4 linked regions of the Caenorhabditis elegans genome follow. The protein of the gene in region 3 interacts with the protein of the main gene of each other region in a pairwise test. Each region holds a gene or a part of one and is shown on either strand. Other genes may lie near its edges.

What was found.
Region 1: the proteins of pcf-11 (region 3) and ephx-1 interact in a two-hybrid assay, tested with the Caenorhabditis elegans proteins (one large-scale study listed by BioGRID).
Region 2: the proteins of pcf-11 (region 3) and ape-1 interact in a two-hybrid assay, tested with the Caenorhabditis elegans proteins (one large-scale study listed by BioGRID).
Region 4: the proteins of pcf-11 (region 3) and unc-57 interact in a two-hybrid assay, tested with the Caenorhabditis elegans proteins (one large-scale study listed by BioGRID).

The regions. Positions count from the first base shown.
Region 1 is NC_003280.10:4,002,843-4,009,236, reverse strand, and holds the start of ephx-1 (SH2 domain-containing protein), read right to left. Parts: upstream 4,324-6,394; coding exon 4,220-4,323; intron 2,496-4,219; coding exon 2,406-2,495; intron 2,357-2,405; coding exon 2,147-2,356; intron 1,346-2,146; coding exon 559-1,345; intron 476-558; coding exon 377-475; intron 1-376.
Region 2 is NC_003283.11:11,673,184-11,679,792, reverse strand, and holds the start of ape-1 (Apoptotic enhancer 1 protein), read right to left. Parts: upstream 3,856-6,609; 5' UTR 3,832-3,855; coding exon 3,772-3,831; intron 3,538-3,771; coding exon 3,406-3,537; intron 1,799-3,405; exon of another isoform or gene 1,594-1,798; intron 81-1,593; exon of another isoform or gene 1-80. UniProt on the Caenorhabditis elegans protein: Negetively regulates apoptosis via its interaction with cep-1.
Region 3 is NC_003281.10:5,022,599-5,030,967, reverse strand, and holds pcf-11 (Polyadenylation and cleavage factor homolog 11), read right to left. Parts: upstream 5,625-8,369; 5' UTR 5,561-5,624; coding exon 5,270-5,560; intron 4,586-5,269; coding exon 4,487-4,585; intron 4,406-4,486; coding exon 4,184-4,405; coding exon of another isoform or gene 3,938-4,183; intron 3,918-3,937; coding exon 3,856-3,917; intron 3,614-3,855; coding exon 3,386-3,613; intron 3,341-3,385; coding exon 2,763-3,340; intron 2,715-2,762; coding exon 2,395-2,714; intron 2,346-2,394; coding exon 1,773-2,345; intron 1,724-1,772; coding exon 1,625-1,723; 3' UTR 1,321-1,624; downstream 1-1,320. Other genes in the region: klp-6 (Kinesin-like protein), read right to left, coding at 1-19; R144.13 (Coenzyme Q-binding protein COQ10 START domain-containing protein), read right to left, coding at 6,994-7,200, 7,252-7,314, 7,375-7,567, 7,616-7,644; R144.3 (C2H2-type domain-containing protein), read right to left, coding at 7,861-7,948, 8,001-8,149, 8,194-8,369.
Region 4 is NC_003279.8:4,672,530-4,680,855, forward strand, and holds unc-57 (Endophilin-A homolog), read left to right. Parts: upstream 1-2,605; 5' UTR 2,606-2,609; coding exon 2,610-2,945; intron 2,946-3,218; coding exon 3,219-3,347; intron 3,348-3,395; coding exon 3,396-3,548; intron 3,549-3,929; coding exon 3,930-4,117; intron 4,118-5,140; coding exon 5,141-5,195; intron 5,196-6,038; coding exon 6,039-6,323; 3' UTR 6,324-6,878; downstream 6,879-8,326. Other genes in the region: T04D1.2 (F-box domain-containing protein), read left to right, coding at 7,142-7,234, 7,284-7,363, 8,137-8,326. UniProt on the Caenorhabditis elegans protein: Involved in synaptic vesicle (SV) recycling in neurons probably by regulating clathrin-mediated endocytosis. By controlling SV endocytosis, regulates the rate of excitatory postsynaptic currents (EPSCs) at neuromuscular junctions and thus locomotion.

The sequences.
Region 1 (6,394 bases), on a different chromosome or scaffold from region 3:
TAATCAGAGGTGTCATGAAAACTTTAAAGTTTTGACAAAAAATTCCAAAAATTTTTATATTATAATTTGATTGAAAATTACAGAATATCTATAAAAATTTCAATTAAAAATTATAGAATTTTGAAATAACTGACTTGAAATTTCAGAAAAAAATAGACTTTAATGAAAAATCAAATTCCTGGAAATTATTAAAAAAATTTTAATATTGACTAAAAATGCAATAAACAAAAATTTGCTTCAAAAAATTTAGAGTAAACCTTTTTAATAATTCTAAAAAACTGCCTAGAAATTTCAGAAATTATTTTCAAAAAACTTACTTCAAATTTTTTTAAATAAATTTTTTTAGTTTCTGGATATTTTTTCTCAAAAAACTCACCATAGAACTAAAATCAGTGTCCAGTAGATCAACACTGACGTGGCACTTTGATCGTCTCTTCGCTTGTTTGTCGCCGACTTTCTGCCGTAATTGGCTAACCTTCAATCAGAATTAGTTTGATTTGTCTTTCTTGTTTTGTTTTCTGAATACCCAAAAAGGAACAAAAAAAACAAAGCACCAACCTTTTTCGACAAATTAAGCTGCAACTCGCTCTTGAACCTGAACAGCTTTTCCAGCTCCATTGAGCTCATCCTTTTCGAGGATTTTGGATTCCTTTGGAGAGTTGAGGAAAGGAAGCGCTCTTTGATTTCCGGCACTTTTTGAAATCTTTGTTCTTCCAGAAGCTCCTCTTCAGCTTCATCAAAGATTTCCTCATCCCGAGGATAAGCCCGTCTGCTTGAATTGGGCTCTGACCCGGAGGCTCTAGGAGGCTCCGGCCTTGAAAAGTCGGTAGACTGAGATTCATAGGTGTACTCGGATTCTAGACGTTGATGTGTAGGTATACATGTGTTTGATGATGGCGTGACCAGCATAATTTCATCGTAACAGTTGTCGTCATCCAGTGGAATAAAAGGGACATCTGGGACGGGGATATTCGGGATTCTCGGGAGACCTCCTGTGCTGGAGGATGTTGAGCTGCTCCGGAAACTGACCGGCAGGGTGTCAAATTGATTGGTAACTGGGGGTGGAGGTGGTGGGGTCTTCAGACGAGCCCTGGGCAGCGTGGCAGACATAGACCTCGGCGCGGGAGTAGGCTTCAGGTAGGAAGGAATCCTCTTGATCCTCTCCTTAGACGGAGGTACAGATGGTAGAGGTGGTGGTGGAGATACAGCGGAAAGATCTTCTGACGAAGAAATTGGAATTGTTAAGGACACTCGACACCGCTCCTCGTACACTGGGTGACCATCTTTTTTGGAATGGAAAGATGGAGAAGGGGAACTTTCAACAATCATGCTTGTTGTTTGAAGACTGAAATAGAAAGGGATTCTTATTTACATTTCTGATTCGTGAATCATAGAGAACCTTGAAACATTCGAAAAATGAGTCACTGTGGGTGGAATTGAAAAAAAAAGTTTTTTTTAGAAATTAGTTTTTTGTTTGAAATTTTTAATGGTTTTTCGAAGTGGTTTCATTGAAATTTTGCTTTATTTATAAAGAACTATTTAAAAATTTGTCTGTTTTGTATTTTTATAAAATTGTATTCTATTGAAGTAAAAAAAGTAACTTTTCAAAACTTTAATCAAGATTTTGAAAGCCGGAAGGTTTTGGAAACTGAAATGTTTTGAAGAGAAATTGAATTGAAATTTTTAAATTTGAATTTTTTGAAATTTTATTTGAAGATATTGTTGTAAAAGATTATTGTTGTAAAATTTATAAAGCTTCAAAATTGCCAAAAGTTCAATTTTTGTATAGTATTTCAAACTAAATTATTTAAAATAAAGTTTTAGACTGAAAATTTTCAGAACAACTTTAAAACTTTGATTAAAAACATTATTTTTTAAAATTACCCCTACAGTACCCCACATCACTCCTACAGCATTCCACAATACCCTACAGTAACCTTACTGTACCCCTACAGTACTACTACAGTACCCCTACAGAATACCTACAGTATTCCTATAGTACCCACGATGTAATCTTACATTAATCTACAGTATCCCACAATACCCTACAGTAGCCCTACTGTACCCCCACAGTTCTTCTACAGTAATCCACAATACCCCTCAAGTTGTCATACAGTACTCCTACAGTACCCCTCATTTCACCTACCGTAATCTAGGTGCAGGTAGCGGTGTTATCACAATTGGAGCACCCGATGCTCCGGCACCCGTCGGTGAAAAGTCGCCAGTGGATTTGCTCTTCCGAAATTCAGAAGATGTGACCAGGACGGCGAGCTCCGAGTTGCTCCGCGTTCGTCGTTTCAACGAACTTTTCCGTCGCGGTATGGCGCTTCCACGTAGCACTCGTGATGTGCACGGCCTGAAAAACAAGCAAATTAAGAGCAAAACTGAAGAGGAAAATTACTTACTCGTGAAGGTTTTCCACTACCCGGAACTTGCCGATTCGTTTGGAGATCACCGGTTTGTGGTGCTCAATTCGGCTTGTGCTGGTTTCGAATCTGGAAATCGGAAATAGCTTTTGGAAGATCAATTTTAAAATTGCAAATTCAACAAGTCGCCGACTAATCAGCGTATTCTAATAGGCGTGGCTAACGTCGCTGATTGGTTGGCGCAATTTTTTTTAAATTTTACATTCTATAATACTACAAAAAACGAAACGTTTCGGCAAACTCAAAAATTGTTTAACAATCTCTCCAAATGACCATATCGTAAAAAGGAGTGGTCAGTGATGAGGCGTGGTGGGAATATTTGATAACAATAATAATAAAATGATGGTGATAAGGCAGGGGGAGCGGGGAGACATACACATTTTGGAAATTCTTCAGAGATGTACTAATGAAGAGAGGGATGCGGTAGGTAGGTTCCTAGGCAGGCAGGCGCTAAAGCTAGGAGATGGTAAATTCCAAATAATATACATCCTAAAGTTGAAGTTTGGGTGAAAGTTGGAGAAAGTTTCCAAAAGATTCTGAACATTTTTAATGCTTTTTTAAGCTTTCAAAGTTGAGCTGATATTAGAGTAAAACTTCATAAAAAGTTGCCAAACTTCTCCGAACCATCTCTAAAACTCCAACAATTTTCCCACGAAGAAGCTTCTGGAAGAAATGACGACGCCCTCGGTCTCTCTTTACTTCTTCAACCGTTTTTCTTCCTGTCCGGTTTCAATATATTATGTCAATCAACCGAAGGGTAATGTGCTGCTATTGTTGGCTGGAGAACAACTGTGTTGGAGTGAGTGTGTGAAGGAGGAGGAAAAGTAGTATTTGTTTGACAATCATACAGAAATTGAATTGCAGACATATAAACAAAAAACTTTTTTTTTAAACGAAGAAGCATAGGACAAGAGAAAAGTTAATTTTCTAGCTGGTTATTCTATTGGTATGAAAATTTTGTGTTCTACACTTTGGCAGCTTATGTATATTCCGGTGAAATTCAAAAATATCCAAAATTGGTCAATTGCAAAACTATTGGAAAATTTAAAACCAAGATTTTCTCAGTTAAGAACTTTTTGATAAAAAACTATGACAACTTAGATATGAGCTGCCAAAATTAAACTTAAATAAATATTTTTTGAAAAAATGGATAGAATCTATGTGTCAACAAGCAGGCGGGGACAGTTTTTCAAAAATAAATGTTTGGTAAAAGTTTGGCTGAAAATAAGCAACGATGACACGTACAAAGTGGGAAAAAGCTACAGTACTCCTACAGTACCCCTACAGTTATCCTAGAGTACTCATACAGTACCCATACAGTTATCCTCCTACAATACCTATACAGTACTCCAATTTGTTCCTCTACAGTACCCTAAACTGGTACTACAGATGTTATTACAGTAAAAGCCTCATTTTGTCCCTTCAGTACCTATGCAGTACTCCTAAAATAGTCGAACAGGTTCCTACAACACTTCTGCAGTACTCCTACAGTTCCTCTACAGTGCCCTTACCGGCACTACATCTGTGAAAGCCTCCCACTGCCCCTACAGTACTCCTACAGTACCTACAGTACCCCTGAAGTAGTCCACCCTACAGTATTTCTACAATACCTCTATATCACTCCTACAGTACCCTACAGTATTCCTACCGTACTCCTACAGTACCCCCACAGTGTCCCTACTATACCCTACTACCCTGCAGTACTGTACCCCAAAAACCTTATAGTACCACTTCTACAGTAACCTTAAAATATCTCTACACTCTACAAAATCCTATAAAAAATGCTGTCTTACCTCTTGGCAAGTTCCTTAACACTGGGCAATCGCATTTTCGTCGTCGTCGTCGTTGTCGCGATCTTCTGGGCTTCTGATGTCGTCGTTGATGGTGCATTGGACATTAGATTTTGGCTCAGATTACCCCCAGACACTGTAAATTTCATATATTTATTTGATTATGTTTTATTAATCTAAAAATAGAGTTTTTTTTTCAAAAAAAGCGAGAAAAAGAGGAAAAGAAAACAGAGGAGATGCATGCAACAACTCTCGATGGGTTAATCGCTTGATTCAACATTTGAATGTGTGAGTGGAGCCCCCCGAGAGAGCAAGTGGGAAAAAGAGCACAATAATATTGATGATGATTGGGGCGAATGTTTATACTGCGCACCACATACACACTTCCCCAAAAAATCGCGGAAAAAATTTTCATGATGAAAAAAACATCTTCCTTTTCAAGAGCTTTTGGGAATGATAAGCCGAGGAGGGGTTGCCTACATTGTGTCTGCCTAGGGCCTACCTAATGCCTACCTAGTGCCTGCCTAGTGTCTGCCTAGCACCTGCCTAGTGCCTATTTGGCACTTCCTATCTACGACCTACAGAGTGCTTTCCTAGTGCCAGCCTAATGTCTGCCTAGAACCTACCTTCTGCCTGCCTAGTGTCTGCCTAGTGCATGCCTAGTGCCTGCCGAGCGCCATTACAATTAGAAGCAAACTATAAAAATATTTCTTAAAAGCTTATTCAGAAAGAACAGAACTAGTCTGTCGACCTAGCCGTCTCGGCTACTTTGCTTCAGCTATGTAATGGCTACTTCCAGACCAGCACTTAATACAGACCCCCTTTTCAACATTTTTCCAATTTGCCAAAGAAATGTGTGAAGTACTTAAAAGAATAAAAAAAGTTAGTACAATAGACTCTAACAACAAAGAAACCTTGAAAAATGGGGGTCAATTACATTTCTTTTTCTGAAGTGAGGTTAAATGGTAAGTGAAATTTTTATACAAAGCTTCTCCTAGTAAATATGCATTTTGCAAAATCTTCAAAAGTGCTGCACAATGAGCAGAACACACGACAGGAAGCGCCTTTTCTCCTGCGAGACCATGGTCAGTGGTGGTCAATGCGCGAGAATCGGGAGACGAGGAGACGCAGATGGATAAGGAAAATGTGTGAAAAACATACGGGAGGCAAGGATTGCAATTTGCATTTACTGACCGCGAGCACAATGTTGATGGGTGAGTGACATTCGAGAGGACTACGAAATGGATATTGCAATATTGCACTTGAGTTTTTTTGTTTTTTTATGCTTCAAGAGCACCACTTCTACCTCAGAGTTCATGCTTATTAGGAGGGTTACTAGTTAGATTCAGGCTTCACAAGAAAGTCTAAAGGCTCAGGCTTAGGCTTATTCTTAGGCTCAGGACTATGCTTAGGCTCGTCTCCAGTATCTAAGTATCTAATTCCAAAATTTCAGACTTCTCTTCGACCTTCATTAAATTTCGACCAATCCTCAAGGTTAAAACGAAAAATTCTTAGGGCTTTAAGCATATCCTTCTTTTTGAATTTTTGCTAAATTTTCAGACTTTCAAAACTTTCAAAAAAGTATAAATCGCATAAAAAGCTAACCCTTGAATTTTACGTATTTACAAAGCGCAGAATGGCATCTACGCTCATAACTCATGAAATTTGATTGATGAACAGCTTGCTAGTCGAGAGTAATATTGTTCCGAGGGGAAGGGTGACACATACGGAAAAGCCATGACAAAGTGAAATTGGTTGGTATTTGAAAAAGGTCAAAACTAGAACTTTTCAGATTTTTTTAAAGTTTAGAAGTTTTAAAACTAGTTTTCTAGCTACTATTTTAAAAGGTGTTGTGCTCCCGTGACCTCCCACACAGAATCAAATATTTGAACTTTCAAACGAGCGTAACAAAAGACTATTTGCACAATCACAGATACACAACACACATTCTTGAATGATTTCGAACACTTTCCGGTTTTTGAACTTTTTTTTGAATTATTAGTTGATCAAAATAACTTTAAAAAATTCTGCTAGGTGTTCCTGGAAATTCTATAGGTACGAAAATATTGTGTAAATTTTTCTGAAAAGTTTTGAGGTTTTGACAAAAATATTCAAGCTAGCTCCGAAAGAAGACAATTTCAGATATTTGACTACTTTATCGATTTCTAGAGGGATTAT
Region 2 (6,609 bases), on a different chromosome or scaffold from region 3:
ACAATAAGAAAACAGTAGGAGACGGCACACGGCTCACTATAGGAAGCACTCGAGAAATCGAGATCTATATTGCGAAAAGTATCGGAAGTACGGGAATCAAGCACAGATAGTTGAGCGTCATGATCTGATCTTTCAGTGGAAATCGAGTGTTAATGATCAAGAGCAAGAATATTATATATATAAAATGGCTAAATTTGTTAAATTCTAGGATCTATTTGGAATACGAATTTGACAGGTGCAGAAATTAATATCCCTGAATCAGAAAGAGCCCGTGAGATAATTATTGGATTTAGAGAGTCTATCAGTTATTGGTAACTGTACACTAGGTAATGTTTCAGAGTAAAAATGAGGCAAAAAGAGAAATAGAATGAAATTTGAATTAGTCTATGAAACATGAACCTATTTAAATTATCAATTTGATAATTTCAAACAAAGATTAATATTTCAAATATATTCTCCTTTTCGACAAGAAGCTTCTTTGATAGGATAAAAAGCTCAGCAGGAGGCCCTACGATGGGAAGGAACGTGTATTTTGGAACAAAGTGTGGATCGTTGTCGTTGTCTTCGTGCTGGTGGTGTTCTGTTCAATTGAAAATCCCGAAAGTGAAACATGTCGTAAATGTTGTGTCTATGCGCCCTCATGATGATCTGACGAACTTCTCGCACAAAATTAATAATGAAGTAGAAGAAAGAGTGAATTAAAAATTAATTCAAAACAAACGAAAGACGCTTTTGAACAAACTATTGAGGAATTTAGCAAACATAAAATAATAGAAGAAAATCTGTTTTGATTTTAATTTCTACGACAGTCACCGACAATTCGCATTAAATCGCATACCAAACTGAGGCGATTCGGACAACGATTGTGTTGATGGTTGTTGGTGTATTGAAAAGCATGAAACTAAGCTGAATGTATTTAACGGAATAGAAAAAGGATTCAACTGGTCGACGAAAAGTTACAGAATGAAAAAGTAAATGTCAAAACTTCAACACTTCAAACCTATGCAAGAGATGACTTTTATATTACTTAAATCGGTTTCCCTTTCAATTGGATCAGATGTGGTAATAAGAAAAAAGTCGTGTTGGCGAACGGAAGATAAAAAAAAACAAGTGTTTTCAAAATGATGATATCACATGTCACATTTTAGCTTTAGAACTCTTTCGGGCCACCGGAAGAGAAATGAACATTAAACACCGGAAGAGAGTAAAGAAAAATTTCGGCGAACCAAACATGTATCCCATTTTGACCGATCAAAAAAAAATGTTTTACTTAAATGAAGCGATTCTCAAAATTTCTAATCAGTTTTTTTTCAAGAATATTTTAAAGAGTATGGCATTATTTGTAGTGGCTGCCACCATAGAATAGTATCTTCTGTCATAAAATACTACAACAACAATCATTGAACAGTCACCGACAGCCTCGCGAAGATGAAAAAATACTTTACAATTGTAGAATAATAACGCTTAACACGTAATACATATCATTATGCATAATGACTTGACGACAGTCTCGATTACACTACAAGAAAAAAAATAACATCTATAACTTTATGCGACTCTACGACGACAACATAGAAAGATGATGGAATTGAAAGAGAAGAAGCCGAGAGAAGCGTACGCTCACACACGCGTTCACTCACACAATTGCGCAATTAATTTAGTTGTAATACGCGTTGCCGACGTGCGCAAGACTATGCAACGATGAGAAGGAAGTGAGTGAAAAGTGAAAAAAAAAAACAAAATTTATAATCGAAAATTAATCGACTGACCAGTTTTTTTTTGGCGATCTTTCCTTCACAGCCACAGATTTTTTTTGATAAAATAATTAAACAAAAATAAAACAGTTGTTGTCTATTATCAACAAAAAATATTCGTGTACGCTAGAGGAGGAACTTTTTTTTACTTTTTAATATTCACGAAGAGCTTTTGGCCAGTGGGTCAAGAAAATAAAAATAGAAGAGAATTAAAATGAAGAAATAAGTCGGAGAATCCAATATAGGGGAAAGCTTGAATGATAAATCGAGGTTAATCGGCAAGGCGCGTACGGCGTACGCACACGAATACTTCGTCTATCTTTCTGTGTCTCTCTTCAAAGGTCAGACTTTCTGTTACGAGAGAAGAAGAAAATGAAGATGATGAGAAAATTGTTTCAATTTCGTGGAGGGCAAAAGTAAGAAGGGGAGAACGCCAATTGGCATCTTCTTTCAATTGACCGATCCACGAAGAGCACTCACTACTATCAATGATATGTGGTGATTAGGTACCGAAAGATAAAAAAGAGAAATTTTTAAACTAAAAGTGGTCGTGAACCTATGGAAAGACTATTTATCATCAGGAATTTGAATTTTTATATTGACTAAACTATTTTATGAAAATGTTTTTGATAATCTTAAAGGAGGATTTCGAAAAATGGGGATACATTTTTAGAAAACTCTGAAAATTCCAATTTACTGAAATACCACGAAAGAAAAAAGAAAAAATTACTAAAGATCAAAAATTCCAACTTTGAAAAGTGTGAATTTACATATCTCGAAGCCACACCCAGTTTCGAACCAATCAGCGTCTTCGTCTGATTGGTAAAAAAGTGGGCGGAGCGAAATGCTGATTGATCGCAGTTTTATTTTTGGAGGAAATTAAAATAGGGAAAAAATTGAAAAAGAGCGTTTTTGAAAATTGGAATTTTTGATCTTTCTTAATTTTTTCTATTTTTCTTTTGGGAAATTTCAGTTTGTAGGCATATTCCGAGTATTCTGGAACTGAATCAAAAATTTACTGATTTTATTTCCATCAAAAATTTACTTGATTGGTATAAATTTTTCCGAATCAATCTCGATCAACTAAAAAAAGCAAGTCATTTTGATCCATCTGAAGGTATCACGCGAGACTAATAATCTCTGATGCATTCCTATCCGTTTCTGATCTTCGACAATCTTAACCAATTCAAACCAGGACCTATCTTAAAATATAATATTTTTATCATTATTTTATGGCGATTGTGATGCGTTGATGTCTGCCTACCTGACTTATGGCCCGGCAGAAAAAAAAAAACAAAACGTGACACTTCAAATCAAAATTAGATGACTTTTTTCTACGCTAAGATACGCTATTGAGGTGTTCTCTCCTTTTCTGACTATCTTTTTTTGGGAAGGTGATGATACAATTGCGTGAGATGCAAAAATTCAAAGAATTCCGTTACTCTCCCCGCAAAAAAACTACAAATTATCAGAACCTAGCCATCATCCATCAAACGGATTGTTGAGATGAAGGGAGAAACCAATTGAATTATATGAAGAATTTCCGTTATCGAGTTTTCTTTTTCAATTTTTTCTAATAAAATCTTAATAGCATTTCCGTTTCTTGAAAATTTTGTTCCGCATTTTTTCATTTCAAACAAAAAAAACTAACTCGTTGATTTGCGGAGATGAACGGAGCCGTCGAAGATTTATGAGCCATCGTAGATGCCATTGATGACGTCGGACGGTATATTGGGGCAGTTGAAACAGTTCGTACAGAATCCGACGAGTGAATCAGAGACACCTGGAATATGAAAAATGGATAATCGTCAAACATCTGCTAATCTAACAGTAGACCTTAAATATTTTTTGAAAAATTTTTATCGACACTGAAATTTTTATTTTTAGATTTTTTTTTAAACAAATTATGATTTCGTCACAGTTCACGTACTTCATGAATCACGTGAATATAAGATTTACAAAAATAGATCAATCCCTTTTTGTAACAATTTGAAAAATAATTAATCTCGATTCTCACCTGTGTGACACCGTTGTTTGCCGGGTACCCTATACCCCCTCCGCTACTGGTCGTGACCATCTCGTTGAGAACTGAGATCTGAAAATGGAGGGAAGATTAGTATAATTTTGTTTGAAAGGATTGAGAGAAAATGACAAAGAGCAAACGTGAATCGTAATACTGAACTTTTCTTTAAAAAATCCAAAATTGTCTAAAATTCAGAAATGCCACAGAAGAAGAACGAATAAAATCGAAGAACAACGAAAAATTGAATTTTTAAATTTTGGCTAAATTCCATGCTTGAATTTCCAAAATGAGAATTTCGACCGTTTTTTTTCGTGAAATTTATGACAATTTTCAATTTTTCAAAATAAAAACAAACTTCTTTTAATTTTTCACATTAACACGGTGGTTTGAAGATATTATAGAACAAAAATAATATTTCACCGCCATTAAAAATGATCAAAGAGGAATTGAACCATTGAAACAGAAAAATCAGGAGAGAGTCCAAAAACATAACAATGAAAATTATCAAGTAGCCGTGTTATTATAGTTTTCTGTATCTAATTACGAATTATTATCATTTCGTAATAATACCGTTTAATCAGTGATAAGGTGTTAATAACTTACATATGAAATTTTGCTGAAACTTCAAACTTGCTGATAAAACGCCTCACATGCTAAAAACGTAAAAAAGAACGAGCCGTAACAAAAATAACGAAGAGAAGGAGGACCTGCGATTGAATGATCAGAGGAGCGCGCGCGCAAGGGAGCGTATGCATGTGTTGGTTCGAAAGATGACGACGAGCCAAAGTAAACACGGCCTCTTAGATATTGGGGTCGTCCCTCTGTGCCTCTCTCTATTCGCTTCGTTTATTATCAACAAACTTTTCTTATTTCTCACAGTCTCGTACCACATATCTTCAAAAAGAGACTTGGCACAATGCCAAAACGGCTTTCGGTGTAGAATGAGAGATACACAGACATTGAAAAAGAGATCGGGGACATCAACCTTGAAATGGATCACCGGTTGATTAACGACCAAAAATAGGAGAAGAACACCGGTAAATGTGGGTTGCTAGTTATGGTCCGTAAAAAGTGAAGTTGCGAAAAATTATTTTTCTGATGATCAAATCGTTGACAATTGAGCGAAAATGGGGGCAGAAGTAGAAGAGTGCATGATGAATAGAGGAAGGAAGAGGTCCACTTGAAATAATTCCGAAAGTGGCCTATTCAGTCGAGAATTGGCTGCTTCGGAAGCAGAACAAGCACAAAAGAGTGGAAGGAAGAGGAGAAAACTCAATTTCGACAAATTCTTTCTCTTGTCACTAACGAAACTCGAATGGTCATCAGGAAACGAAAAGGAAAAAGTAAAAATGTTCCGGTTCTTTTAATTCAGGATTTTATTTTGAGTTTTTAAAATAGGTTCGCGGTAGAGAAAATTTTTTTTAATTGCATCGATTATATAAAATTACAAATCAAGTTTGTCCAAATGAAAAGAACATCATTGTTTTGTTCGCTACAAGGAGAAAACTAGAAGCGAATTGGAGCTTTTGCTCCCGCACATTTCAATTGTTTGAAGTGGGAACAAGAAGAGTGCACTTTCTATTGGAAATGTGCTCAATGATTGTTTTTCTTTGTCAATAACTTAAAAGTAAATTGAAAGCCGTTTAAATATTTTAAGTAAAAATTAAAATTCAGAGTTCCTTATCCAAAATAAACAAAAAAAAGGTAGAAAGAAGGAAGCTGGCTGAACCAATTTCTCATACGGACCGTTCGACCGTTCGGGCGTGTCAACGATGTGAGTACAGGAATGGAGGGACGGAAAAGGTGAGCACGGGAGTGCATTAGAGAGAAGATACGCAGAATGAAAAGGCACATGAGAGACATAGTTGATTGAAGAGACGCAGAGCATAATCGGTTCTGTTGAATACAGGCAAAAGAAAAGGATATTTGTGTGCGTTTGTTGTGAGGGCAAGAAGGTCAGAGGAGAGCGACCGTTATTCTAATGAGAGAGAGTGACTAGGAAGACAGAAGAGACGGAGAGAGGGAAATATGAAAATACGTCATTTCTGAACTGATCGCCGGAAATGATTGAAATATTGCGCTATAGGTGAGATCTTTATCACAGAAAGCGAAAGCTAGACATCCAAAAAGTAAATACCTTCGGCGCTCTTTTCTCCTGCGAAACGAGCGAGCTCATCGTTTTGCCCACAAGGGTGCGGAAAACTTTTTCTTTCGGTTTTTTCGCCGAAAAGGGAGAAAAAAAAATGTGTGATGAACAATTCGTGTTTGTCTTCCAGCGATCAGTGTGACGAAAAGAAAAACTGAGAAAACAGCTGGTTTCAGTATTCAAAAGATGTATTGTTTAAATTTCACTGTGAAATAAAGAAAACACAGTAGGAAACGACTGAAATCTGATATTTTTACGTTAAAAACTATAAAATTGAAGAAGTTGGGATTATTGAAAGCCACTAAATAACAAAAAATCGGGAAAAATCATGAGAGAAAAGAAAAAGAAAAACAAGAACAAGAAGAAAATGAACAACACGCCGCCGGAACAGTAGCACGTTTTAAAGCCGCACTCACATTGATATGCAAAGGGTCTCGACGCGATGTCAGTGAAGGTACGTTAGGGAGAAAGTTTTAAATTCGCGATCGATATCGATTAGGTCGGCAAATATAATTGCGTATGTATTTAGATAAAACTGAAAAAAAACTATTAACTCATCTGAACAAAAAAGAACAAACACTACAACAAAAAAACGATCGGTTCTTTTTCTCACTTTTTGTCACTTTTTGGGCGAAAAAGAAAGCCTAAGATTTACTGATTACCAGTCTTTGCTTGAATAACCTTAA
Region 3 (8,369 bases):
TGGAGTCACCCTTTCCCATTATTCTGAAAAGTTCAACTAATAAATTTAGAACTAAATTTGGTTGGAAAATTTTTTTAAAGAAACATTGGAATATCTTCGTACTACTACCGTACTACAACAAGGATCTCAACTATATTTTAAAAAAAATTTTTAAAATTAAAAAATGTATATGAAGGTATTGCGTCGCAATAATTGGTTGGTATTACGGGAACAATAAATCATGAGAATGTGTACTTGGTGCATTTTATTTGACGCGCGATATCTCTTAGCGAAAACTACAGTAAGAACTCAAATAACAATAGATATTTAAGCTCTTACTGTAGTTTTCGATAAGAGATATCGCGCGTCAAATAAAATGCACCAAGTACGCATTCTCATGATTTATTGTTCCCGTGATATGAGAAAAGGATTTAGTTTTTTTTTTTAATTTACAGATTAAAAGTATAATAATTGAATACTTCTATCAGAGAGAACAAAATTTGTAAACAAATCCGAACGGAAAAATGTTTTTAAAATGAAAAGGACAAGAAAATAAATGGAAAATTCAGTATAGAGTGTAGTAAAGCGTGGAGAATGGGACCCTTCTTCTACATACACGTGGAGTCAATGTTGCCATGTAGGTCTCCAAGCGACGAAAGGAAACGGACCAAACGGTGTTTGATGTGAAGAAGAAAAATTTGTATGAAGTTGTATTTAATGAAGATTGAAGATTGGAATCAGAGAACAAAAAGTTGAATAAATGCACAGAATTTCTGAAAACAATTGATTTTTTGATAAAGCCTCGGATAGTTTATTTCAACTTTGACAGCATTTATCCGATTTTTTACTTATGAATATAATTATCCAAAAAACCCGAATATCGTAGCAAACTCCAAAACGTGTTAGATATTTAAAAGTATCTAGTCATTTTGGCAACTTACCAAACTTTCCAAAATTTGAGATTTTTGAACAATTTAGAGCCAATAAAATGTTGAAATACGAATATTCCAAAACTTCTCGAAACAGGTTTCTAACAATTGATTCAATTGATACTGCCTACAGTAGTCTTTGCGGCATTTCATAACTTTGGAGTGTCAGTGATTTACGGAATTGACCAGAACCTACATCTCTGAAATTCTCGTTATGTGAACAAAAACAATTATATTTCCCATTTTAATAGATTTATTCGACCAAAAAAACAAAACGAAAAAATAATTTTAAAAAAGCAAATAAAAATTATTGAAGTCGTCGACTCTGAAAAACGGGGGTTTTATGATTTTTATTTTCAATGTGATAAATTGGAGGGTGGAAAAGGAAAAATATATATAAAAGGTATTTTTAAAAATAATTTGCTTTATTTATAGAAAATGTATAGGTGAGGTTTTGAAACGGAATCACAACCAAGATTTGTTGAAATTGTCTGGGACGTTGGGGGGGGGGGGGGGGGGGGGGGGGTGTAAGCTAAATGAAAACTAAAAAACCCATAACGAAACAAGAAAACAGGAAAACTTTGGTATGCTTGAAAATTTTAAAGCATATGGAAAAATGCTTTAATGAATTTTTTGGTGAATTTTATAATTTCTGTTAATATTTTCAATGACTAGACAATGCCCATCAAAAAGGCTCAATAAAAAAACAATTATGTTCAGTCGAACGGCTCCTCTTTTTTGATGTCACTGTCGTTGAAGAATGATGAGTTGTCGAGTGATCGAGCTGCGTCGGAAGCACACGCAGAATGCACAATCTGTAATGAATCTTGATAAATTCACGAGTTTTGAATAACAAATTTTCACCTTTCCGTGAACATTAACTGTGTCCCTTAATCGCCACGTTTCCTCGTCATCATCATAATACTCGTCAAACTTCTCACCACAAACTGAACATTCTTTGGTTTTAACACCGGAAGATGCTACTCCTGGAAGTGGTTCCTCGGGTTTATCAGCTTCTTGCTCATTCGTTTCATCAGATGCACGTGGTGTAAGCCAAGTGGATGTCGATGGATACCACTGACGATATGGTACAGCTGCCGAATTGTTCGACCCGTGGCGTGCCAAATTTTGCTTCACATGCCAATCCATATGATCTTGCCATTCTTTTGACTTTCCTTGAGAATCATCTAATCTCATTCCACAAAACTTGCAAGCGTCGGCTCTCTTGGTAATCAACGCGTCAACGACCGAGTCGTAACGAATTTGCAAGAGACGAATATTGAAATCTGTGATGGCCGCCGGTGGAGCACTTCGCTTCTCAACACCACTTCCAATTGGAGATGGATCAGATGGTGGTGGTGGTATATTCTGCTGTTTATTCGCTCCACCCCATCTAGCGTTCTGTTGTGGTTGATGACGGTTATGATAACCTCCTCTCTGAAAACAATAAATTATTTAAGAGACTGTAATCCTGATAGTTAATTACCTGTCCAGCATTATTCATTCCCGGAATTGGAAGATTAGCTGGTGGTGGAGTCTGGTTGCGTGGCGAAGATGGCGATCTGGCCGGAGCTGGCAATATATTACGAGTTCTCAAATTTTTCAGATATGAGAGCCAATCCTCCTTCTTCTCCGGCTTCTCCGATGCAATTTCAATCTTCTTCTCCTCGCGCATTTTGTGCAAGAAATGAGTAAGATGATATGCTGGCTCAGGCTCAATGCGAACTTCTGGAGCACTTCCAGTCAATCGGATCTCATGACGACGTCCATTGATCGTTGCAATGATCGGTGGTCCTCCAAATTGACCTGAAAGTTCGAATATGAATTAAAAACTGTGAAAATATGTGTATTTACCTTTGAATGGGTGACCACCAATGTAAAGTTCGCGGGATGGTGCTCCGAACTTGACCATATGCTTTGATCCTAATATGTCAATTTGAGTTGGAGTGTCAAACTGAAGCAAGTGTGGGATTCCATCAATTACGAGGTTTCTTGGCGGTCCAGCGAAATAAATACGATGTGGAGCACCACCACGCTCGATAACTGCAGTATCATCGACAAACATCACTTCATAAGCTTTTCCATCGACAAAGATACGGTTGTTGGCTGGAACATCGAGTTTCGGTTGTTCTGACGAGTAAACGTTCTCTGGAGCTGGAAGGTGTTGCTGTGGAGGTGGAGCTTGAACTGGAACGATTGGTGCCGGATCTTGTGGAGGCGAATTATGATGATATCCTCTTCCCATTCCTTGATGAACTGGTGGAGGTGGAAGTTGTGGATGATGTTGTTGAGGATGTTGGAATGGAGGAGCAGACGAAAGTGGCGGAGCAGGCACAAATGGAGCCACTGAAACAGGTGGTGGCACAGGTATCATAGGACGGATCGGAGCAGCTACAGGGGCAAATGCGTGAGATCCTATCACTGATGTTGGCCTGCAAAATTTTCGATTTTTAAAACAGTTTAGACTAAATACTCACTTCAAAGTCTTTGGTCGGAAATCTTGATCTTGTGCTGATGGAACTGGCGGCTTCTTCGTCAAGCTTATAGATCTGAGATCCTCATCAATGGCTGTCTGTGGCTTTGGTGGTTGTTGTGGCTTCTTGCGAATCGGAGCATTTGGATGCTCGGATGGTGCTGATTTTCGCTTCAATCCAGCCGGTGATGATGATGTCTTGGATGCAGAGCTTGATGGAAGTAGTTTGTCACTGGAAAAAATGTTTTGTTAACTGAAATAAAACTAATCTTTTAAGCGTGTTATTTCGGACTAGCTGATCATGACAAAATTACTGTGAAATTTTATTCAATGTTACACTTTCACACAGATTTATTTTATTTTTTTTTTCATTCATTTTGTTTCTGAATTACTTTTTTTCAAAATTAAAACATCGATTCTTCTCATTACATACCAAATTGTAACACCAAGACACGCCTAAGACATTAAACTTACAGTGGATCCTGTTTTGGTTCTTTCTTCACTTGCTTTTCCTTGTTTACTGTGCCAGGTGATTTCTGTAATAACATAAGCGGTTTCAACAAATATCCCACCCAATTGGAAATAATTTATTTGAACAGTGACGAAGAATATTGTGTTTTTTGCCAATTCTGTCGCTTATTTTCTCAACTTCCATGATTCCGGTGAAAAATGATAGATAAAGCATTTCTTTTTTTTTCATAATAAATAAACGATCAGATGATATGTGGAAAAATAAAGACAAAACATAGAAAGTGATACATTGAAAAACGTGTGAAAATAAAAGTTCACAAGAATATTTTACCGTTTTTTCCACGACCGTCTTTGATGCTGATGCTGCACCAGGTGTGGATGAACCTATGAACTTTGGGTTCACAAATACACGATTCGTTGACGTGGAAGCCGCTGGACTGGTGGCATTGCCTGCTGGTCTACTCTGAGAAGGAGCCATAACTTGTGGATCATCACGAAGTGCACGACCAGTCTGTGGATTTGAAATTGGCCAATTTGGGTCAAGCTTATTGATCTGAAATACAAATATTAATATCATTAGCAATGATATTGCGAAATCGTAGCTCGATTTCAGGATCTGAAATTGAAAGTTTACCTTCATGTCAAGCTCATATAACTTTGAAGGCATGAACAATGTGGTGCTGGCCCATGTGACTCGTATCCTGTACAACGATGTACGGATTCTTTCATCTCCCTGAAATGTTTAGAATTCAAAATGATTTCGAAAAATAATTGCAAGCGAAATTAACGTGACATACTTTGTAGATATTTTTTGCGAAACTTCATTTAAATTTCTCAGCTATACGCGCTAAAATGTCGTGCGAAGTAGCAGGAAAAAGTTTTACACCGAAATTGGAAACAAAACGTTTTAACTTCTCAGGACATTTTGTGGAAAACTACGGTACTCAATCGCGACAAGACCCGGTCTGTAGCTGAGAAAGTTTTGACCTTATCTTCTAGATCCAAAAAGGCGCGCGAAAAATCTGTTAACTACCGCAATGAAAGCTGGCGAAACGTTGTTGGATTGCATTTTTGCGTGCTTTGCTAGATTAGACTAAGCCTTCCGTGAGGGTAAAAAAAAGGTAGGGCACGTTGATACCCTTTTTTACCCTTTACCCGAACAGGGTATTTTATGGACACATTACCCTATGCCTTCACGTAATAATACGAATTTTAAGCATTATTCGCTTTATTTGTAAAATTTTCGTTTTTAGAAATGAAATTTCTAAGAAAACGTTAAAAATGAATTAATACAGGGTAAAACCAGGGCATAGGGTAGGGTAGGGTAGGGCAGAGGGTAGGGTAGGGAGGGTAAAAACTCACCCTCATGGAAGGCTTAGATTAGACAGACCGATGTTTTTTAATTTTGATATATTACCTGTCGGAAAGCATGCTCGAACATGCTTACGATTTTCCTTGCAAACAGTGCATCATAATCGTTCGGCTTCTTAACGTTCTTCAAAATCGAATCACACACGTACATCACTAACAGTTTTTGTGAAGGAGAACACGTTGTCAGATGCCGCTCAATAACTTCAACAATTTGTGGAGCTGCTTTTTTGAAGTCGTCAGCCAGAATAGTTAGCAGATTTATTTGAGTCTTGTTGTTGTTTCTCAATTCGGCCAACGTCTCACGATAGTCTCGTGCTGCCGATTCGACCGATTCCATCATGAATATTGATTGTGATATTTACGAAGGTGAATAAAATAACCCGGATATTCGTTTTCACGTGCTGAAATTAATTATTTTTGAAAAATAAAAACTGCGTGAAAAATACAACGGGAGAAGTCAACGAGATTATAGCACCGTCCCGAGCAAAAACTAAATAACGGCGGGCAGCTTCAAAACTTCCGCACGAACATACAGGAAGTTGTGATGCTCCAAACGCGCAGGCGAGCCAACAGCTTGATACAACAAGCGCGAATATTATGCTAATCGCAACTGAAGAGTAGTCAAGAAACCCAAAGTCTAGCTGACAAAGTGACTTTCCATATATTTTTATTATTTTTTAGAGAAAATGAGGACAAAATCATAAAAGGAAGGGGGATAGGGGAATGGGAAGGGAATGTATATTTTTTAAAGGGTGACTGCACACCGTCTGAGGTCCGCCTCTTCTCGCACCAAACAGTCTGCGCGCTGTCTTTCGAGTCGAGTCCGGCGTATCTGGAAAATATTGATTAGTGACGTGAAAAAATGGATCAATAAACGCAACAAGAAACGAGGAGGTAAAAACAGAGAGAGAGAGAGATTGTGGATGGAATGAAGGAAATTGGTAAAAGGAGATGATGGAGGGGAACATGTACAAGAATTATGTGTATTAGCAAGTAATTTTAATTAAAATAAGATGACAAAATCAGTTAGCAAAAGCACATATAGAGAAAATTGCAAAGAAACGGCGTTATATTTGAAGAAAACTGGGAGAAATGAACGAAAGAGACAGAAAACAGGCAAGAGAGACAAAAGCGCGTGGTAGAGGCGTGTCAATCGATTTTGCGCGGGTCTCGCAGCGACCGGGTGAGTGTGAAGAGGCGCAGAGAACATTTTCGTAGCTGCCAGCAATTGATTCTTGCTGTGAAACGGCTGACGGGAGCCAGGAGGTTTTTACTTGTTCTGATAGTGAGGAATTTTTTTAAGTATGAGAAATTATATTAAAGAGCAATTCCCGAAAAATTAATTGACTTCAAAAAGCATGGTACGTCGCTTTTAGATAAGGAATGTGTCTTTAAATGTTCAATACAATTATTTGTACAAATTCGGATGAACTCGCTTCAAGATTTTAATCGAAACGAGTTTTAATCCATATTAATTTGAAAGTGAGAGTTGAAAAAAAGATGCAAACGAAAGAAGAACGGGACAAGAGCGAAGAAGCGAAGCCCAATGATTCGAAATTTTGCGAAGAAAACGGGACATCGGTGTTTCGCTACCGCAGAAAAATATTGAGAAAAATAGTGAAAAATAAGGATACCGATGCTGAAACGGCTAGTTTTTATTCAATTAGAACATAAAAGTTTGAATCTACATTTTTATTTAAGAAGCAAGAAAAAAAAATTTAAAATTTACAAATAAATACTCTGATTACAGTGTCACTAAGTTTAAAAAAATCAAGATTTGTACTGTAAAACCTGCGGTGGTGAGTGTGGGAATTCCGGTGGTCCATAAAGCTTTTCAGCGCGGTGCAAAAATGCTGAAACCATAGTTTTTACGACTTTATCGAAGAAAAGATGAGCGATTCTTGAGTGAAAAGCTGACTCGAATTCAAAAACTAAGTCATAGTGAAGAGTACATGAGCGTTCAACAGATGGTTTTCCCTGAAAAAGGTGAACGTTAATAGAGGTTTAACAAAAATTGATGGAACGAACTTTTCCAAACCGGAACGTAGTGTCAAGTGTGCGGAAGAGATTATCATTTTCTATGACGACAGACTGTAAACACATAGAATATCGAAAACCGAAACCTTCTTAGAAATCTTTGAATAAACTAACATGAACAACAGATGGCTTAATGTGAATCACACGACTCGAATATTTCTCTGAAAGTGGTGGAAACCCAATTTCCAGCGTCGCAATCTGTGAGCTTTCGTGCTCGTGGGTTACTGTAGACGACCGACACCATGGAACAAAATTGTGATAATCGGATACATCAGACACGACTTTAAACATTTCGTCCCGGGAAAATCTAAAAATTTAAATAATTTTCGACGTCTAAATACTTCAAATTACTTACCCAATCAATCGTTTTTCCGAGTATGCCATCTCACTGGAAAATCTTCTCTGATTTAGGATCAGGTTTTGCCCGAGACGACGCAATAACATCTATTTGATAAGTTTGTTTTTCAAAAAAAAATTCATGAGAACAGATACAAAAATTTAGTGGCTCGATTTATACGATTGTAAGGGATCAATTGAAATCAGGGAAAAAATCATCAGAATTTACCCGTTTATTAGGATTTTTCATGAAAATTAACAACGTCAAGTGTCATAAGTATATTCATCATCTTCGGGATTATCACTTTCCAAGAAGGGATCCAATCCATCATATTTAGGGTCACCAGGCGGTCTGAAAGATTTTGAAAATTTAAAAATAAATTATAATCGAGTCAAAAACCAACCTATTATCATCATAAGCCATCCTAGCCTTTACCAATCTCCGAGCCTTTGGTGCATTTGGAGCAATAACCGATTCCACTTGAAGCATACACTGACTGTTATGCTCTTCGCCGATTTCTCGATGTGCAAGTGAAAGGTGCATTATTTTTCTCTGAAAGTATTATTTTTCAGAAGAAGCAATTGATAATAGCATACTCGAACGGTCGTCCATTTCTTTCCACACAACAAGCATGTCAAATTGTTTGATTCAGCAGACATTACATCTTGATGAGCATATGACACGTGGAATGCTAGCACCTCGATTCGTTCGAATGATCTTCCACAGCATCCGACAAGACAGGTGAGAGTACTCAGATCACATGGCTGAGTAT
Region 4 (8,326 bases), on a different chromosome or scaffold from region 3:
TCCTGATGTTTTGAAGTTCCTCATTCTAGAATGCATTCTGGTAGTTCTAAATTAACGGAAAGCATGAGTTTTAGATTTTGAGCGGTTTTTTTCTTTTAATTCCCTGCTTTCCCAATTTTTTTCAAATATCCGCAAAAATATTCCACATTTCTATTTACTATCACATGATCCTACTACTAATTACTTTTAAATCGAATCATCTAGACTTCCTCAACTTCATCTGACTCATCTTCAAATGTAAAGTTCCTCGGCGTCTTTCGCAATGTTCTGAATGTTGTCGATTTCCTCGCGTAACCTCTGCTATCTGTTAACGGGTGTCTTCTTATCAGTTTCACTTTTTCTTATTTTTTTAGTTGTCAATCTCTTGCTAGTAGTTCCCTGATTTTTGAAGAAAAAAGCTCGTCCCAGAAATCTTGCAGAGCTGGAAAATCATTAAAATCCATATTCCTTCTTTGGAAGCGGTCATTTTCAAAACTTGTATATCGATTATATCTTCAAATTTTAATTTTTTAAAATCATTTTACCCAGTTGTAAACAAGTTTTTCATGAACAAATAAAAAACAGCATGAAAAGCATAATCTTGGTAGACATAAGGGTTAGAATTTTGCCTAAAATTATAAAAATGGACCGAATAAATTCAATAATGTAAAAAAAATGAACAAACATTTCTCAAGTTTTCAGTTTTCCATAAAAAATTATAAATTTATGTAAAATTATCGATTTTTAGACCAATTTTGAAGATTTTCTTTCGGGTTATCAAGTTTTCTTTACGAGAAAATGTCATAAATTTTTTTGCAAAATTGAAAAATCATTGGTTTTTTTTCTTGAAATTTAGAATAATTTTATAAATTTTTAAACACTTTTTTAAAATTCGACCATTATGCTCCATTTTCTAGCATTTTAAGCAACCCCGTCTTTAAAAAGCTGCATTTAAATTATATTTAGCTTTAAAACTCTTTTTATGCTAGGAAAGTGAAATTTCGTTAATCATTATCCAACAAATGCTCTCTGTCGGGATAAAATTTAACTTTTCCAATTGTTTTCCAGATTTTTCCAAGTAGCAACCCTTGAGTGTGCCCAATCATTATGCCTATCCACACACACAAACATTAAGTAGTGGGTAGGCTAGAGTCTTTCATGCACAAGCAAATATACACCGATTCGTCTTTTTTCCCTCTATCTGCCACATAGATAAAAGAAAGAATAACCTTCTCCTCCCCCACAACACCACCACCACTAACGGCGTCTTCTTCGTCTCAGTTTTCTTTGCTTTACGTAATCTACGTCTTCTATTTTTTCGGGGTGCTCTCTTCGGTTGGAACTATGTGTGAGAGTAGTGTGTTTCGTGTGTCTGTGTGAGTTTTTCCTCATCTTTCTCTCTCTTTTCGCGCGGAAAGAGGGCGCCCGAGGTCGGAGAAAAAAAATGAAAGGCAGAGAGGATGGAGGACACAGAGGAACGAAACGAAAATAACTGAATCGATACATCTGTGGGGTTGGCGGTGTTGAAGAGAAGAAGACGAAGAAGAAGATGAGGGGGTGGAGCTCTCCGTGCACAACGGCTTCTCCTCCCCCATCTTTCTCTCCCGTGCTTCTCCTTTTACTAGAGTCCGGCGTTGTGTTGTGTGTGTGTGTCCCCGCCTTTTTCCGGAATACGAAAGTAGGTCTAGTTAATGGTTAACTACCTCTCTTGCTCCGAAGCAGGCTTTTTCTTTAATTGCTTCTTGCAACTTTTCTGAAGCTCTACCTTTCTACTGGGAACTTGTTTTCTTTGAAATTTAGAGTTTTTAAAACTTCCTTCAGTTCTCATTCTCATGCTTTATAACCATAAAAGTGTACATCAGAATAAATCCTAGATCATAAGATCATTCACATTAGCATTTCTTTTTGGAATGCTTTTTCCGAGAAAACTGCACTTTTGAGGATTTTATCTTCGAACTGAAAATTCGAGTTGTACTTTTGAAAAAGTTTGTAGCGATCTACCTGATGTCAGTTTTATTTTAGATTTCCTGCACAGTTTCTTTCATGAATTTATAATGTTCAACCTTTAGTTCTCTCAGTTTTAAGGTTTAATGCAAAGTTTTACATACAGCCTGAGGGTCTGTGGATTTTTTTGTTTTAATTGATAGAAAATACCAGATTATACCTATGAAAAATAGTTTTTAAATTTCAAAATTTGATGAAAAATCCGAAAAAAGTGCCAAATTTTGCTTATAATCGAAATTTTTCTAGAAAACCGACCAAAATATACAATAAAGATAAATATTTTGATTAAAAAAAACTGTATTCCAACTGCTGAAACAAGGGTGGAAATTATTTTTACACTTTTTAATTTATTATTACAAAATCATTAGAATTTATAATTTTTCAACAGTTTTATCTGATCTTTAAGTGGTATTTTCTTTCATTTAAAATAAAAAATCCACAGGCGAAACTCCAAGAATTCAAGAAGCTCATTTTATCGAAACTTTCAAATCTTGCTCACCGTGATTCCCAAGTGTTTTAAATCTAAAGGAAAATAAGTCTGGTTTTTGAATATTTATTTTCAGTTGTTTTAATTATCAATTAATTAACATGTTATTCCGAATCTAAAACTCAAAATTTTCAGAAAAATGTCGTTGTCGGGGTTACGTAAGCAATTCAACAAGGCGAATCAATACCTTTCGGAGACGATGGGCGCCGCAGAGCCAACAAAACTTGACGATGTGTTCAATGAAATGGAGAAAAATGTGGATACAACGTATAATTTAATTACGGATCTCGTCGCCGGAACAAATGAATATCTTCAACCAAATCCAGCTACTCGAGCAAAAATGGCCACACAAGTTGCCCTGTCAAAAGTTCGTGGAACTACAAAAACGTCACCGTATCCACAAACAGAAGGAATGTTGGCTGACGTCATGCAGAAATATGGACAACAATTGGGTGATAACAGCGATTTGGGAAAGGTTTGCCATCCCTTTTGGAATTTTAATTTCTGAAAAAAAACCCATTTTTTAGCAACATTTGTCAATATTTGTTCTGTGAGCAATTTCTGAAAATGTGACCAAAATACAGCAAAAATAAAATTACTATTTATTTTGTTTATATTAATAATTTAATTGAAACATTAGGTTGATATTAGAAAACCACTACTTCGGTATTTTTTAGATTAAAATTTTTTGCACGGCTTCAAAATCTTCTTAATCATAATTTTAAATTACAATTTTTTTCAATTCCAGAGCCTAAACGATGCTGCAGAAACGTATCGACAAATGGCTGATATCAAGTATCAAATGGAGGATAATGTTAAACAAAACTTTCTCGATCCATTAACACATTTGCAGAATAATGAGCTGAAAGATGTGAATGTAAGCTTTTTTGCGTAAAAAAGGGTTTATTATTAATTCATTATTCAGCACCACCGCACAAAACTGAAAGGACGTCGACTTGACTACGACTGCAAAAAGCGTCAGCAACGACGTGATGATGAGATGATTCAGGCGGAGGAGAAGCTGGAAGAATCAAAGCGACTCGCTGAAATGTCAATGTTCAATGTGCTTAGTAATGATGTGAGTTTTACGATTTTTTTTTGGAAGTTTTTACTATTTTCCCCTATTAGACTTGCTATTTGACATCGGTTACCCTTAGTTTTATTTTTAAGAAGGATTATTCTCAAACTTACGAATATAACAAAAGAAAAACGGGAAAAATCCGTTAAGATTTCGAATTTTTATGTCAGAAAAATCAACGAAAAACCTTCAAAATTTAACTAGCGAAATCATAGGCCACGAGGATTGTTCGAATTTTGATCCTGTTCTATACTATGTTTTTAATCAGTATTTTATACAATTCCTTTCAATATAAGCTGTCAAAGTTTAATTTTTTTTTAATCTGCTGAAATTTTTTTCCACTTCCCCTTTTAGATATAATCACAAAAAAATTCTTTTCAGGTCGAGCAAATATCTCAACTACGAGCCCTCATTGAAGCCCAACTCGATTTCCACCGACAAACAGCCCAATGTCTCGAAAATCTACAGCAACAACTTGGCCATCGAATCAAAGATGCAGCTGCCAGGCCTCGTGAAGAGCATGTTCCATTATCAGTTCTTGCAAATGAGAGCAGAACTCCAAGATCCAGGTTGGTATAAGCATGAAGAGTGAGAAAATGCATGTTTGTTGTGAGATTTTGAACGCTCAAAAAGACCTAGTTTTTAAAAAACAGCTAATTTCTTGAGATGCACTTTTGAGATTCAGCTGAAATCTCCAATTTCGCCAACATTTTATTGAAATGGAGCTGCCCCAAAAAGCTGAATAAACTACCAAAAAAAATGTTGAATATTGGAGGATTAATTGAAATTTCGGGCCGCTGTGGCACGGAAAAATTGGCAAAATTGAAGTTTTTTAAAGCTAAATTTAGATTTTTGTTTTCTTCTCAAAACTTTGAAACGCCATGAAAATTGTACGAGAAGTTAGAATAGAATTAGTTATTTTTAAGAAATTTTGAATTTTGAGTACAGAGATTATTTCATAAATCTACCTGAAAATTAGTTTTTTCAAAAGATACGAAAAAATATATAAAGCCGGAACTAGGCGTTTTCCATTTTTGTTTTCGATTTAAAAAGGTCCCACGCATCATAAAAAGAGAAAACCCCCTGTGCTCTTAAGAAACGGAAAAAGCACTGAAGCATCATTCACAAGTAATAAAAAGGAGGAAAACATATGAAGCACAGACATAGACATGCAGAGTCTATGATTGATTACATCGCATTATGTCTTTTTACGGCCGGAGGAATACTTTTTTGGAAGGAATATGAATGTAAAAAGATCGTTTAATGACTGATTGACACGAAAATATTGAAAAATTGAAATGTTTTCGGTGTTTTTTAAGCTAGACTAGTTTAAGTTTTTTTGAAAGTTGAGAAATTTCAAAAAAAATTATTAAAAGAAACAACGTAAATTTTGATTTTTGATTATCTTTGAAAAAACCGAAAAATTGAAAATTATTCTACGACACAACCAAAAAAACATTCTAAATTTAATTTTAAAAAAATAAGAATTAAATTTCGTTACAGTACCCCCCGCTACAGTACTCCCTGATTCATATTGTGATTGATTTTTTATTTTTTGCATGCTAAAAGCCTCTTCCAAAACATCTCTTCAGTTTCAGATCGCCTGCTCCATCGGATATGAGTCACAATTCTACGGCAGCCGCAGCCGTACGTTTTTTTGTTTCAGAAAAAATTGAAAAAAGTGCGACTTTTCAACAAAAAAAACACGAATTTTGGAGATTCAGTTTTTCGGATTTCAATTACTGAAATTTTTTGGAAAATGGTATAATTTTAAAAAAACACTTGTAAAAAGACCGGAAAATGTTTAAAAAATGTTTTTGAAACATTTATTGAAAAATCAAACTTTTCAGATATTTTTCGAGACGAGAAAACTGAAAATTCTTGATTTTTCAGAAAGCCGAAATATTGATCAATTTTCTGGATAAAATTAACCAAATATTTCAATTTTTTAGTTTTTTCTCATAAAAAACATATAATTTTTCTTTAAAAAAACAGAAGTGTCTAAACTTTTAAAGAAATTTTTCGCAAAATCAATTTCTATTCGAACCGACAAAACTAAAAATTTAAAAACGAAAATTCCAGATTTTTCGGTTTTCCGGAAATCCTAAAAATCGGAAAAATATTGGGAAAATTGACAAAAAATTTCAAACTTTTAAAAATTTGGTTGATGAAAAAAAAAAGTCAATTTTCTTCTTAAAACGGGTAAATTTTCTCGAAAAAAAACTACAAATTAAAAAAAACCAATTTTCTAAAGTCGAATTTTTTGTTTGTTGAAAATAAGTTACTTTTATAAGAGAATTGTGTATTTTCCCATCAGCATAAAAAATTTGAAGATTGAATTTTTTAAATCAATTTTCTAAATCGAAACTATTCGTTTTTCAATTTTTATTTTAAAAAATCGAAAAAGCGATACCCTTGATTAGAATATTTTGTTTTTGAATAAAAACCTAGTAATTCAATTTTCAATCCAATTTCTAATATTATGTCCAGTTTAAGATGCCACCACAAAATGGAGGAGGAATAACACAAGCACCACCATCATATCAAGGACCTCCACCAGGTGGACTTCCACCTCCACTCTCCCAGCAGCAGAAGCCACAATGCAGAGCTCTATTCGATTTTGATGCTCAAAGTGAAGGAGAACTGGATTTCAAAGAAGGAACACTGATTGAGTTGGTATCACAAATTGATGAGAATTGGTACGAAGGACGTGTGAATGGAAAAACTGGATTATTCCCTGTTACCTATGTACAGGTTCTAGTGCCTCTTAAATAAAAAAAAATGTATTTCTCCCTCCAAAACCCAGTCAATTCTTTCCATTTTTTGCTGTTTTATTGCCAATTTCTCGTTTTCTCCCCAACTCCAAAGCCATGCTCCTCATCTTTGTCTCTTGAATTTTATTTCACAAAAATATTTTATTTCCCTTTCCAAATCTCACTTTTTCTCTAGGAACCCCTGAAAAGTACTCATTTAGAAGAGAATGGGCTATGGTCTCTATGAGGCTAAAATAGTTAATTCTCCTGATCCATTGTGCCGAAATCTTTGTATTTATTAAAACACTACTTGCTTTATATACATCCACTACTTTCCCCCAGTCTGCCACACCCGATGCGTTTTCCAATAGCAATACCCTGACCCACATTACCATGTATTCTATGTACTCTCTACACTACCAAAAATGTGCATTTATCAAATCTCCCTTAAAATAGCAGCATGTTATTAGTTTTTTTAGCTTTATTTAGTAACTTATTTTCAACATCAAAAAATTCATTGCAAAATTACTTATTTTCGTAATTACTTATTTTCGAGTATATGAATTTGATTTTAAACTATTTTTTTTTTGAACTCGGAGATGGAAAAAAGTCAAATTTCTTGTCTTATCAATTTTAAAATTGTTTAAAAAAAGAAGTGGATGAACAAGAAAATCAATAAAAAACTGAAATGAAAACGAAATTTCGAAATATCCGGAATATTATATTGTCCACGAGGAGTACTGTAAACAGACACCCAGTTATGTTATTAGTGACGTCATATACTTGCACCATCTGCTCTCATACCTGTGCACCATATATCTCATCGATTTTTTTTTGAACATGAAACGAATGCAACTATCATTTCGTCCATTTTCTTCACTATGGAATTCAAATCGAATTAAAAAAGGTAGAAGTTGTTCCAATCAGAAGAAGGTAAATTAAATTAATTTTTATTTGTTAGATCAAAAACTATAAGTTTCAGAAATGTAACTCTTTCAATCTACTCCAACTACCATACCTAGCATTTCGAATTGTTATTCATCAATTAAGTATTTTTTCAGTGTAAGTTATCCCGTGGTGTCAGACTGTCCCATTATGGTTTGATCTACAAAAAAGGCGGGATTTTTTTGCCCAAAAAATGTGACGTCAGCATTTTTTTAACCATGCGAACCAGCATGGGACAGCCTGACACCACGTGAGTTATTCCAACATTACATATCGTACACCCTTCAATGTTAGTTATAACATAAAATCACATAAAAATTACGGACAAATCGAGCGAGAGTGAGATCAACTACATTAAAAACGTTTTAATTTTAATTTTGGCTGAATTTTTTTTTAGAAAATCGCAGTTTTAATAGTTGTATTTTCAATTCTTTCTCGACGCTCTAGAGTATTTGAACAAAATCCCAATCTACAGTGTTACAAAAGCCAGTCTGAGACAAATACTGCCCAGTTACGGAAATTCGTGATTCTTGACCGGTCTCGGCACGAACGAAATTTGTAGCCACTGTACCCAACAAGAGTTTCGCAATTTGCTTCGCTCTTTTTCTTAAAGGTTTGCCCAAACAATATGGTTGAGCCCCCGTAAAATGCCACGCGATACTGGTAAAATCTCCAAATTATTGCTGGTACGGTAGCTGCTAATTTTTGGTCGTTTCGAGACGCGGTGACGTAGCGCAACTGGATAATAGAGCAAAAAGCAATATTTTTCACAATTAATTAAACAATTAAGAATACGATCAGTTCGATCAGTTCAGTTCTTTTAATTCCTAGTTAACCTTTTTTCTCAAGTTTTTACTTTGGAAATACATTTATATTTGTTGATGTTTCAGATTACAATTATCTCAAATTTCAAGAAGAACTTTGAAGAAAATACAACAAGTGAATCGGAAAGTTTATAAATTATTGGTCTACAACCATGAATTCACGCCTTATGGTGGCCAAGAACATCTTAAGACTTATTCAGTTCGGCAACTCGTTGTTATCGAGAACATAAGTGATTATCAAGAATTTTATGATATG